Kluyveromyces lactis: one gene and its partners. The protein of the gene in region 3 interacts with the protein of the main gene of each other region in a pairwise test. Links are inferred from orthologs where the notes say so. Each region holds a gene or a part of one and is shown on either strand. Other genes may lie near its edges.

Region 1 (3,100 bases), on a different chromosome or scaffold from region 3:
CCTTGTGCTGCAAATCTAATGTTGGATAAGCTCAAGTATTGTGGCACAGACTATTTTGATAAAAGCTCTATCAATTTGATGGATAGATCCGACAAATTAGCATTTTCATTGGACGACCATTCGGTGAGTGTCAGCGAGAACTGCGGGTGGAGGAGCGTTAGAAGCGACGTTTGTATGAAAGAAGGAAAAATATACTGGGAAGTGGAGGTGAAAAACGTTTCTGATACATCACACATCAGATGCGGGATAAGCAGAAGAGAGGCATCAACAGAAACTCCAGTCGGATGTGATTTTTACGGTTATAGCATTAGAGATAAAGGATTGCAAGTTATTCACGAAGGCCGCTTGCATACAGTTTTGAAACCACACGAGATGCAAGCAGGTGATAGAATCGGATTTCTACTGACTTTACCTTCCCTGCAGTCTCAAAGCGAGCAAGCCATGGATTATAGTTTAAAACGAATCCAAGAGCTAAACAACGACGACAGCCGCACCAACAAAAGGAATAAGAAATTCAATAAGGAATTCTACAAGTTTTTACTGCGTTCATGCGAGCCAACGAATGTAGTTAGAGATCAAATTGCCATCAGATATAAAAATCAATTGTTTTACGAAAGTACCGATTATGTCAAAACTACAAAACCGGAATATTATGACAACAGGGACGACATGCAAAAGTTTTACGAACTTGAAAACTCGAGCTTCGAAGTTTTCGTAAATGGTGTTTCCCATGGAATAGCTTTCGAAGGCCTTACACCATTCTTACCTCCGTTCAGCGAATTGCAGTACAATGAGAAGTTTTATTTGCATCATTGGAATAAACGTAATGTCACGAAGGGGATCGAAATAAGAAATAAATACGTAAACAACAACAGGCTAGGTTATTATGCCACTTTGAGTTCATTCCAGGGAGGCACTGCATCGATCATAACAGAAGCCATGGAACTCAAGTTTCTACCGAAAGATGTAGATATCAAAACTCTGAATGATATCTACAATGAGCAGATCGCAAGTGATATTGTATGGGACTTAATAGACGAAATTGATACATAAAATAGAAAAAGAATCTTTCTAAATACTCATTTATAGAGAACGTAACCGTAAATTAACATTATAGTTCTCCAAAGCTTAGCACTCCAATGTGTTGGACCAACTAGCACCGTGAAAACATTTCGACCGAATAGTTCATGGTTATAAAGAACTTAAACTATCCTTATACCTTATATTGAGTTGTTACCTTAAAAATAAAAAAAAATAGTTGGAAACACAGTAAACCAGAAGAACTTCATATGATAGAAAAGGGATCACTAAATAGAAGGTAAAACACTGTACAAGAAGCCGTCATATACTGACGCCAGCAATACGAATAATATCTCATGCAATATGAGTGAATCAGGAACTTTGACAAATAAAGAATCAGATACTAAAATATTAAGTGTGCTGGTGTCTGATCCTCAGAAACAGAAAACGCATTCGCAGACATATATCACCTATCAAGTATCCACGAAAATAGATGGCAAAGATGAACCGAATTGTGTGGTGAGGAGGTACAATGATTTTGTACTCCTACATCAAATATTGATAAACGATCATCCTGCACTGCTTGTTCCTCCATTACCCGATAAGAAAGTCCTAAATTATCTTTCAGGGGATAGATTCTCACATTCTTTTACTCAGAAACGTTGTCGTTCTCTTCAAACGTTCATGCGCAGGTTGTTGAGTCACTCAGAGCTTTCCAAATCCAGGATTTTGGAAACGTTTTTGACCAGCACAGATTGGGATGTTTATAGAAGGAGTTTGACGGGGCAAATTTCCACTTCTGAAGTTAGTGATGTTTTGATAAACGCTTTCAAACACGTAAACAGACAAAGGGATGAGTTTGTCGAGATTAAGGAAAAGAGCGAAAAGTTAGACCATAATTTGAGCCATTTGGACAAGCTATTCCATAAATCTGTGAAAAGAGTTGATCTGATCGGACAGAATTTGAAGAAATTACAATCCTCTTTATCAGGATTACAAGAACTTTGCTGCGATGAAAAGGAGCTATCAAACAGTATCAAAGCCTTTAACGATGGAACGATGCAATTGATAGATTCATTAAATGATTTGAACAAATACGTTGACTATGAGTATAACGTTGATATTAAAGATATGATAAACTATATCGAGGCATTGAAACAACTAATAAGGCTGAAAGATCAAAAACAAATAGATTACGAGGAGCTATCAGAGTATCTAACGCGATCCATAAATGAGAAGAATAATTTACTTTCTGGCTATGGGTCAGGAAATTATTTCAAGAGTAAACTGGAAGAACTAGCTGGTATCAATCAAGAAATGGCAAGAAGAGATAAGATAGCGAAATTAGAGACCAGAGTTCAATCTTTAACGGACGAAGTCGAAAAATCAAAACAAGTCGCTGATGAATTTGAGAAAGAGGTTCTCAAAGAGGTCGAACAGTTTGAACAAATAAAAACTTTGGAATTGAAAGATTCGTTAGCTGCTTTGGCTCAAAAACATATTGATTTTTATGATGATATGGTGGAGAAGTGGTCGAAGATCGAAGAACGTCTCGAAAGCGCCTGACGGCTGGATTTTTTTTTGAAGCCTCTCACTGTGTTTCAAAACACTACAAAGGCTTCGTAACAATTACGTAGAGACATCGATTAATAAGTTTGTACTTTTGTTTCAGTATTTATGACTATCTAGCTATCTTTATGCAATGAAAAAAAAAACGAAAACCAGAAAGAGAGTACATCCATCATGTTGTGAGCATCACTAAAACTTGGAATTGTTTAATTGTGTCAAACTCAATAAGTACAATTAACACTCTGCACCTGTTCAATCAGGTCATGCAAAAAACTTTCATCGCAGCCAGTATCTATGAGATCCCAATCAATTTCATCGTAGACGTCTCTATGCGAATAAAATGCATCTCTAAACTCCTGGCCAAATTCATCTTCAAACTCTTCGAGCGTTAAATACTTATCCCATTGTAGTGGAGGGAAGGTCTCTTTATCCAGTTTTCTATCTTTCTTTGTTCGTGGTTTGGGTGCCCTATCATTTTCTCTAACATAAAAGTAACGTAGAAGCATTATAG
Region 2 (3,237 bases), on a different chromosome or scaffold from region 3:
AAGCTAAATGTTAAGAATGGTCTGTAGCAGATTCATTCCAGGGTTTTTCCCAGCAGATTACCAGCCCGAAACTAAGAGAAAGAAACCAGAACGGGTGCGTTTATTCATCTCTGAAAGTATACAGTTTTCCGAGGTCATACCAGCCCACACTTTTAAACATGCATTTTTGCTTTCATTCATTTTTTTTTTACTATACTTCAATATATGAGTACATTATATATATTTTGTTTGGAATGGGTTCATAAGTTAATGCTATTGGAACCAGTGGCATCAGCAGTATTATCTGAATCCACGCCAACGGTTCTCCGGCCTTGAGATTGCAAAGATCTTTTTAATTTTGTGGACGCCGATTGGATGTCACCGGAAGATACAGTGCTAGCCCTGTGCTGTTCTTCTAGGTCCAAAGCTTGTAGCCTTTCGTTATAATTATCCAATACTTTTCCATTTTCCGCTAATGAGTCTTGGAATACTTGCAAATCCTTCTCATCAATATCATCATCGGAAAAATTCCCTTCCGCGTCCAATTCTTGTCTGTTCAATACCTCTTCACCCTTAAGCTTGGCAACGTACGCTTCTAACCTTCTGTTAGATCTTTGTAAATGCTTCACTGCATTATTGATCTCTTTTCTGATCTCTTGTAATTCATGCTCAGACGATTCTCTAATAGCAATCACGAACTCTTGAATCTGAATTGGTCTACGAATACCAGAAGAATGTGCCATATTTCTATGTTAAGTCTATCCTTAGCTATGTATGTTTTTTCACTTTTTAGTCTTGTTTCGGTTGGAAAGTACGAGATGAATTAAGATCGGTATCCTTAACTATATATTCAAGCTAGCCTTTTATAACAATAATTTAAGCCAGAGTTTATTCTCTTACTATTTATACCCAACGGTAAGATATCACGCCCCACATATGACACCCACCCCTCCGAGGCACCATCATTGCAAATCAGAGTGTATGATGCGCACGTTACTATGCTGACTTTTTCCAGCTCCAAAGCAACACTACTTGTTAAAAATCACATCAGCTTTTCTGCTTTCCTTTCTCCTGGGCTGGATTTCCCCGCCTAAGTCCTTCTCTGGGAACTGAACTTTGTCCCTTTCAGCAAAGAGTTGAGAAACTCACGAGGAACACAAAAACAACGAGAATTAGGGGCCGCTTATGTAATTCTTTTCATCCCATAAAACAGAAAAATTGTGCTGTTTTGGCTTCCACCCATACACTACGCACAATCAGGGGTTGGTGCAATTTCGGATATATTACCCGGGCATGGTGAATTTCATCATAGGCGTTACAGAGTGAAGATGTGATTCAGATTCTATATGAGAGAGAGTTCATTGCGATGCTAGAGAAGAGATGGACAAAAGACAAATGGTGATGTGTAATAGTAACTACGGATTGTCTGGAATAATCGGCCCTTTGTACAAAAATCATATCATCATATAATGGGCAATGATAATAATACTAATAGAGGGTTAAATCGGAAATTGCATTCTGCATTGAGTGTTGAGAATGTCAATTTATTGAGATTTCAAGGTAGACGTTGTGGAAACCCATACTTGCAAGACGTACAGGCTCATGGTTTTGAGCCAAAGGCAAGAGTATCGTCTCATTGGTATGAACCGGGAGAGGTTGTCCAGCATGCTGCAAAATTAAGACAAGAGAACCGTGAAAAGTCTGAAGAAGAAAGAATACGATGGGAAGCTGAACTGGAGAAACAGCAGGAAATCGAACGGAAAATAGAAATAGGGGAACTACCTGATAAGCATGAAGAAGTTTATTTTACCGATTTATCGGACGTTCCTGATGTGGAATGGTGGGATGTTCCATATATCAAAGATGGTAGCATCCATGAGAAATATAGTTTGGATTATTCCACATTGAATTCGGACGATGAAAGTGATGATGAAGAGGAAGAGGAAGAGGAAGGTGCACAAGATAAATTCCCAAGTATTAGGTATATTCAACATCCGGTACCGATTGAAAGGCCTAGGGCAGCTGTTCCAGTGGCAGAGATTTTCTTAACGAAAAACGAACGGAAAAAGGCCAGAAGGAATACGAGGAAGTTGGTACGACAGGAGAAGGAGGAGAAAATCAAGCTTGGTATAGAACCAAAACCAGAGCCCAAGGTTAAATTATCGAATATGATGAATGTGTATGAGAATGATGCCAATATTGCGGATCCAACTCAATGGGAATCCATCGTACGGAGACAAGTGGCAGAGAGGAAAAGGAAACATTTCGAAGAAAATGAAATAAGGCATCAAGAAAGCCTGAAACGAAGGAAGGAATCCCAGTTACAAGCACACAGCAATGATAGTCCTCTAGAATACACGTGTGTTGTTTACATGTTTGACGAAATACAGAATCCTAGTATCAGATACAAAATCAAAACCAACGGTAAGCAATTGAAGTTGAAAGGATGCTGTCTACACATTCAAAATGGCAAAGGTATAATTGTAGCTTTTGGAGATGAAAAATCTATCCGCTTTTTCGATAAGTTGGTGACAAAGCGAATCAATTGGTCGGAACCATACAAAGATAGAGATACCGAAGAGACAGTACCTTGCGACGGTAAAATTACAAAGGTTTGGCAAGGATTAATTGGTGATTGTAGATTCAAGGGCTGGTTCATGCTCGATTGTAAAGATAAAAACCAGTTAAATAATATCTTAGAGCAGCACGATGCATTGACTTTTGTACCATTAGGTAAGTTTTAACAAACAATTACGTACTGAAAATGAAATCCAAGTTCGAAATCATCAAAATTTTGGAATAAAAGTAATAGTGTATGTTAAAAAAAATAAAACCGGAGTAAATCCAACGACCTACTTAGAACATTTATTTACATGGGGTGAGTAGGCAGTCCAAGTGACGCACAATGGTCAACATTATTGAGTTTTATCACTACCAACATCAAAAAAAAGTCATATTTATATAAATAATATCTCCCTTCGTCTCTCAAAATTCAATCATCAATAACAGAGAAAGATACTGGCTCATAACATCGTTCTTTAAATTTAATTCTGGTGTAACGTTCGAGACCTTTATTCGACGACCTTGGCCAAGATTTCAGAGTCTCTGAATAAAACGACTTCATCATCCTTGCCCAACTTGATTGTGGATCCACCGAATTGTGGGATCAAAACTTGGTCACCTGGTTGGACAGATGGTGTAATCTTGTTACCGTTGGAATCGGTGAAACCTGGACCAGCAGCCAACACAGTAGCTTGG
Region 3 (3,263 bases):
GCCATTTTAATTGATTCAAGCAAAGGTAAATGGCCGTTTTGGTTGAATCCAAACCAATGTATGGTCATCCCAGTGAAGACTGAAGATGAGAAGATAATGGAATTGGCTTTCAAGACAGTCAACTCATTACGTGGTGAAAATAGTGATCCAAAAAGCCCAATTCCACTCAACAGCTTCCATTTCTCTGTTGATATGGATGCAAGAGATGAATCTGTAAGTAAAAGAATTAGAGAAGCCATCAAGAAGCATTATTCTTATATTATAATGATTGGTGACAAAGAAGTTGAAGCAGGCAAGGTGGCGATTAGAACCAGGGAGTCGAAGAAAGTGGATTTACTAACTATCGATGATGTCTTTGAAAGGTTCGTCGATCTTGAGAAAAATTATAAATGATACCTTGCAATTTTTGAACCACAGAAAGTAATGTTAACCATAACGATGTAAAAGATAATTTATACCTGTAAATATGTATACTTATGTATCAATAATAACACAATACCGTCAATTCGGTACATTATGTATGCTATATTCGAAACTATACATCGATTCCATATCGTCGATATAACCTGGCCAGATGTTTTCGGGAAGATAGTCACCATTTTCAAGTAAAAATTGCTGGCGTTGGTCCAAGTCAGCATCACTCAGTGCCTGTAGTTTCTCCTGACATTCCTTTAATATTTTCTCCATTTGTAACGCAGTGGCTTTCCGTCTGTCTCTTTCTCGTAGAAGGTTTTTATACCCTAATTTGAACTTATCGTAAAACTCACAGAGTTGTTGCACTTGTTCAATCTTTTTTATGCAAGATTCCTTATAAACGAATACTAAATTAGCAATCTTTTGGAAGATAGATAAGTATTCCTCACATTTTTCTAACTCTGTCACAATCTTGGAAGCCAGCAGATGGAATCCACCAATTTTGTCCATTATTTCACTTATTGTTTCATTGACTTTCTTTGAGAAAGCTTTCACTTCAAGTCCCGTTTCGAATACTAATTCCCTTATATTTTCTAACTGTGTATCGTCTTTCTTTACAATCTGGAAAAGTTCCTTCAAATCTGGTAGTGGAATCTGCTGTTCCTTCAATATCGTGCATTTGTCGAAATGATCAGTGATTGATCTCAAGAAATCGGCAAGTTCATTCTCAAATTCGTTCAATTCAGTGACATAATCACTTTCCAACAATTTGAATAGATTATTTTTGCTATCCCTGCTGAAATGTGAATCAAAGTAAGTTCTGAGTTTTTTCAACTTTACAGCCACTAGTTGGTTTTCTATTCGATCTTTTATCGATTTGTAGTGTTGTCGTATGTTTGTCACTTGTTGTTTTATAATAGGAATCTCATCGATTTTTTGTTGTAGTATGTCTACGTGATCCATGCATATGAAATCTGAAAGGCTACTGTGATCGTCAGTCAAGTCGTATTTTGTACCCTGCAAGATCTTCATCTTTGTTGTTATCTCGTTTTGCCAATAACTCACGTCATTGACTATCTCGACTAAAACCAGCTTTGACCATTCATTGTCAATCAACTCTGTAGAAATACATTTCTCGAGCATGATATTCTTGAAGAACTCAACCTGGTTCACCAAACAATTAAGTATAAATTTAAGTTTAAATCTGGACTTTTGAGAGCTGTCCATTTCAGTTCGCACTTTAGAGAGGATTTTTAATGATTCTTCACATTCGACTTGAGCTTCCACAAGCTGGTTTCTCGCCTTATTCCACAATTTATCTATCTCATCACTGGGTATAGTAGTTGCAGCATCACTCATTTCTTGTAGACGCAGTTCAGATCAACCGAAAGATCTTCATCTCTTCAACGTTTCCAATTTGAAACCCTTAAACGGTCAATTTCACTTCGAAGACTGAACTTCAAACCTTTAAATCTTTTCAAAGTATGAATAAATACCTATTAATCGGAGTAAAGATTGAAAGGAGTATCAGTCACTCCAAGTCAGCTATTACTACTCCAGTGATTCAGTATAGATGTCAGAACATATCAGTGACGATGATCAGTTCAAAAGAAGAAAGATCAGTATGACAATGAATAGTATGGTATTTACCGATCCATATGGATATAGCGATGACAATGAAGAACAAAAAGAAGAAGAAGACTATGAACCGGTACGACAAGCCAACTCCAATGATGGATTGAAAAGCGACCAGATGTTAAAGACCTATGGTATGGGTGCCAAGCTTTTATCAAAAATGGGTTACAAACAAGGTGAAGGTTTAGGACGAGATGGGAAAGGTATAGTGAACCCAATCGAAACAGTCACTCGTCCTAAAGGTGTCGGATTAGGGATGTTAAGTGCAGTACATGATAGAGATGACTCCAACTATAGTAATACTTCAGCATCATCAGATGAAAGTTCAAATAAAAAGAAAACAGTGGAGTTTAAGACTCGTCGTGCCACCCAGCTTGAGAAATTGATTCAAAATATAAGTCTCCTTGCGGAATTAAAAATAGAACTACCTGATACGGTGACAAGAACAATCAATGGTTCTGAATTACATGAAGAAGAGATTTCCTCTTTGAATGAAATTGCTAATAAGCTTCTGCAGCTTCATTCGGACATAGATAGAATACAAGTTGGCTTGGAAAAAGCTCAACTAGATGACGAGCGCAAAGTACACCAAGAGGAAAGGCTACAAAGTGTTTTAGAAAAAGTCAAGGAAAAACAACTTTCGCAACCAAGTCTTGAAGATCAGATTACTGAATGCCTAGAAATAAATGACGATGACATACTTGATAAGCTCTGTACCATGTTCTTGCTCAAAGAGCTTAATCGTGGAATTAATACGGCAGATATGCAGGTCGAAAAGTTGAACCATTTGAGGGCAGCAATAAGGTTTCTTTCATATAGAATGGAATCTGGATATATTTTGAACGAAACACAAAGCAGCATTTATAGGTTGGTGTATCAACCCTTATGTTATTGGTTAGATTCAAATACCGGATATTCGAGGATGCTACGTCAAATAACCGTTCAGTATTTACCTATTATTGACTTTATTAGCTGCAGGGAACACTTCCTTTCCCGCTACATTATGCCGGCTCTCGAAATACAACTTTCTCCTCAATTTCTGTCAGATGAATTCATGGTGACATACGGCGAGTTGCATCTCATTTTGGGAGAAAGGGATTTAAAGTCATTAAAAGCACTTATCCTGCTGGAGTTCGAGCAGTTTTTGAAAAATTGGGAACCTTCAATGACTGTTAACCCTCAAAACGTTATTCTCTTGAAGGAGGCAGTGGGTG

The links.
Region 1: the proteins of ATG17 (region 3) and SNX4 interact in a two-hybrid assay, tested with the Saccharomyces cerevisiae proteins (2 studies listed by BioGRID). The link is inferred for Kluyveromyces lactis from reciprocal best matches to the Saccharomyces cerevisiae genes ATG17 and SNX4.
Region 2: the proteins of ATG17 (region 3) and PRP3 interact in a two-hybrid assay, tested with the Saccharomyces cerevisiae proteins (2 studies listed by BioGRID). The link is inferred for Kluyveromyces lactis from reciprocal best matches to the Saccharomyces cerevisiae genes ATG17 and PRP3.

What each region holds. Positions count from the first base shown.
Region 1 is NC_006039.1:941,929-945,028, forward strand, and holds SNX4 (Snx4p), read left to right. Parts: upstream 1-1,383; coding exon 1,384-2,586; downstream 2,587-3,100. Other genes in the region: BRE2 (Bre2p), read left to right, coding at 1-1,053; TAD2 (tRNA(adenine34) deaminase), read right to left, coding at 2,811-3,100. UniProt on the Saccharomyces cerevisiae protein: Sorting nexin, involved in the separation or division of vacuoles throughout the entire life cycle of the cells.
Region 2 is NC_006041.1:826,796-830,032, forward strand, and holds PRP3 (U4/U6-U5 snRNP complex subunit PRP3), read left to right. Parts: upstream 1-1,448; coding exon 1,449-2,723; downstream 2,724-3,237. Other genes in the region: TMA17 (Tma17p), read right to left, coding at 240-722; HSP10 (Hsp10p), read right to left, coding at 3,051-3,237.
Region 3 is NC_006040.1:231,891-235,153, reverse strand, and holds ATG17 (protein kinase regulatory subunit ATG17), read right to left. Parts: upstream 1,774-3,263; coding exon 502-1,773; downstream 1-501. Other genes in the region: threonine--tRNA ligase MST1, read left to right, coding at 1-393; mRNA splicing protein SPP382, read left to right, coding at 1,988-3,263. UniProt on the Saccharomyces cerevisiae protein: Autophagy-specific protein that functions with ATG13, ATG29, and CIS1/ATG31 in response to autophagy-inducing signals as a scaffold to recruit other ATG proteins to organize pre-autophagosomal structure (PAS) formation.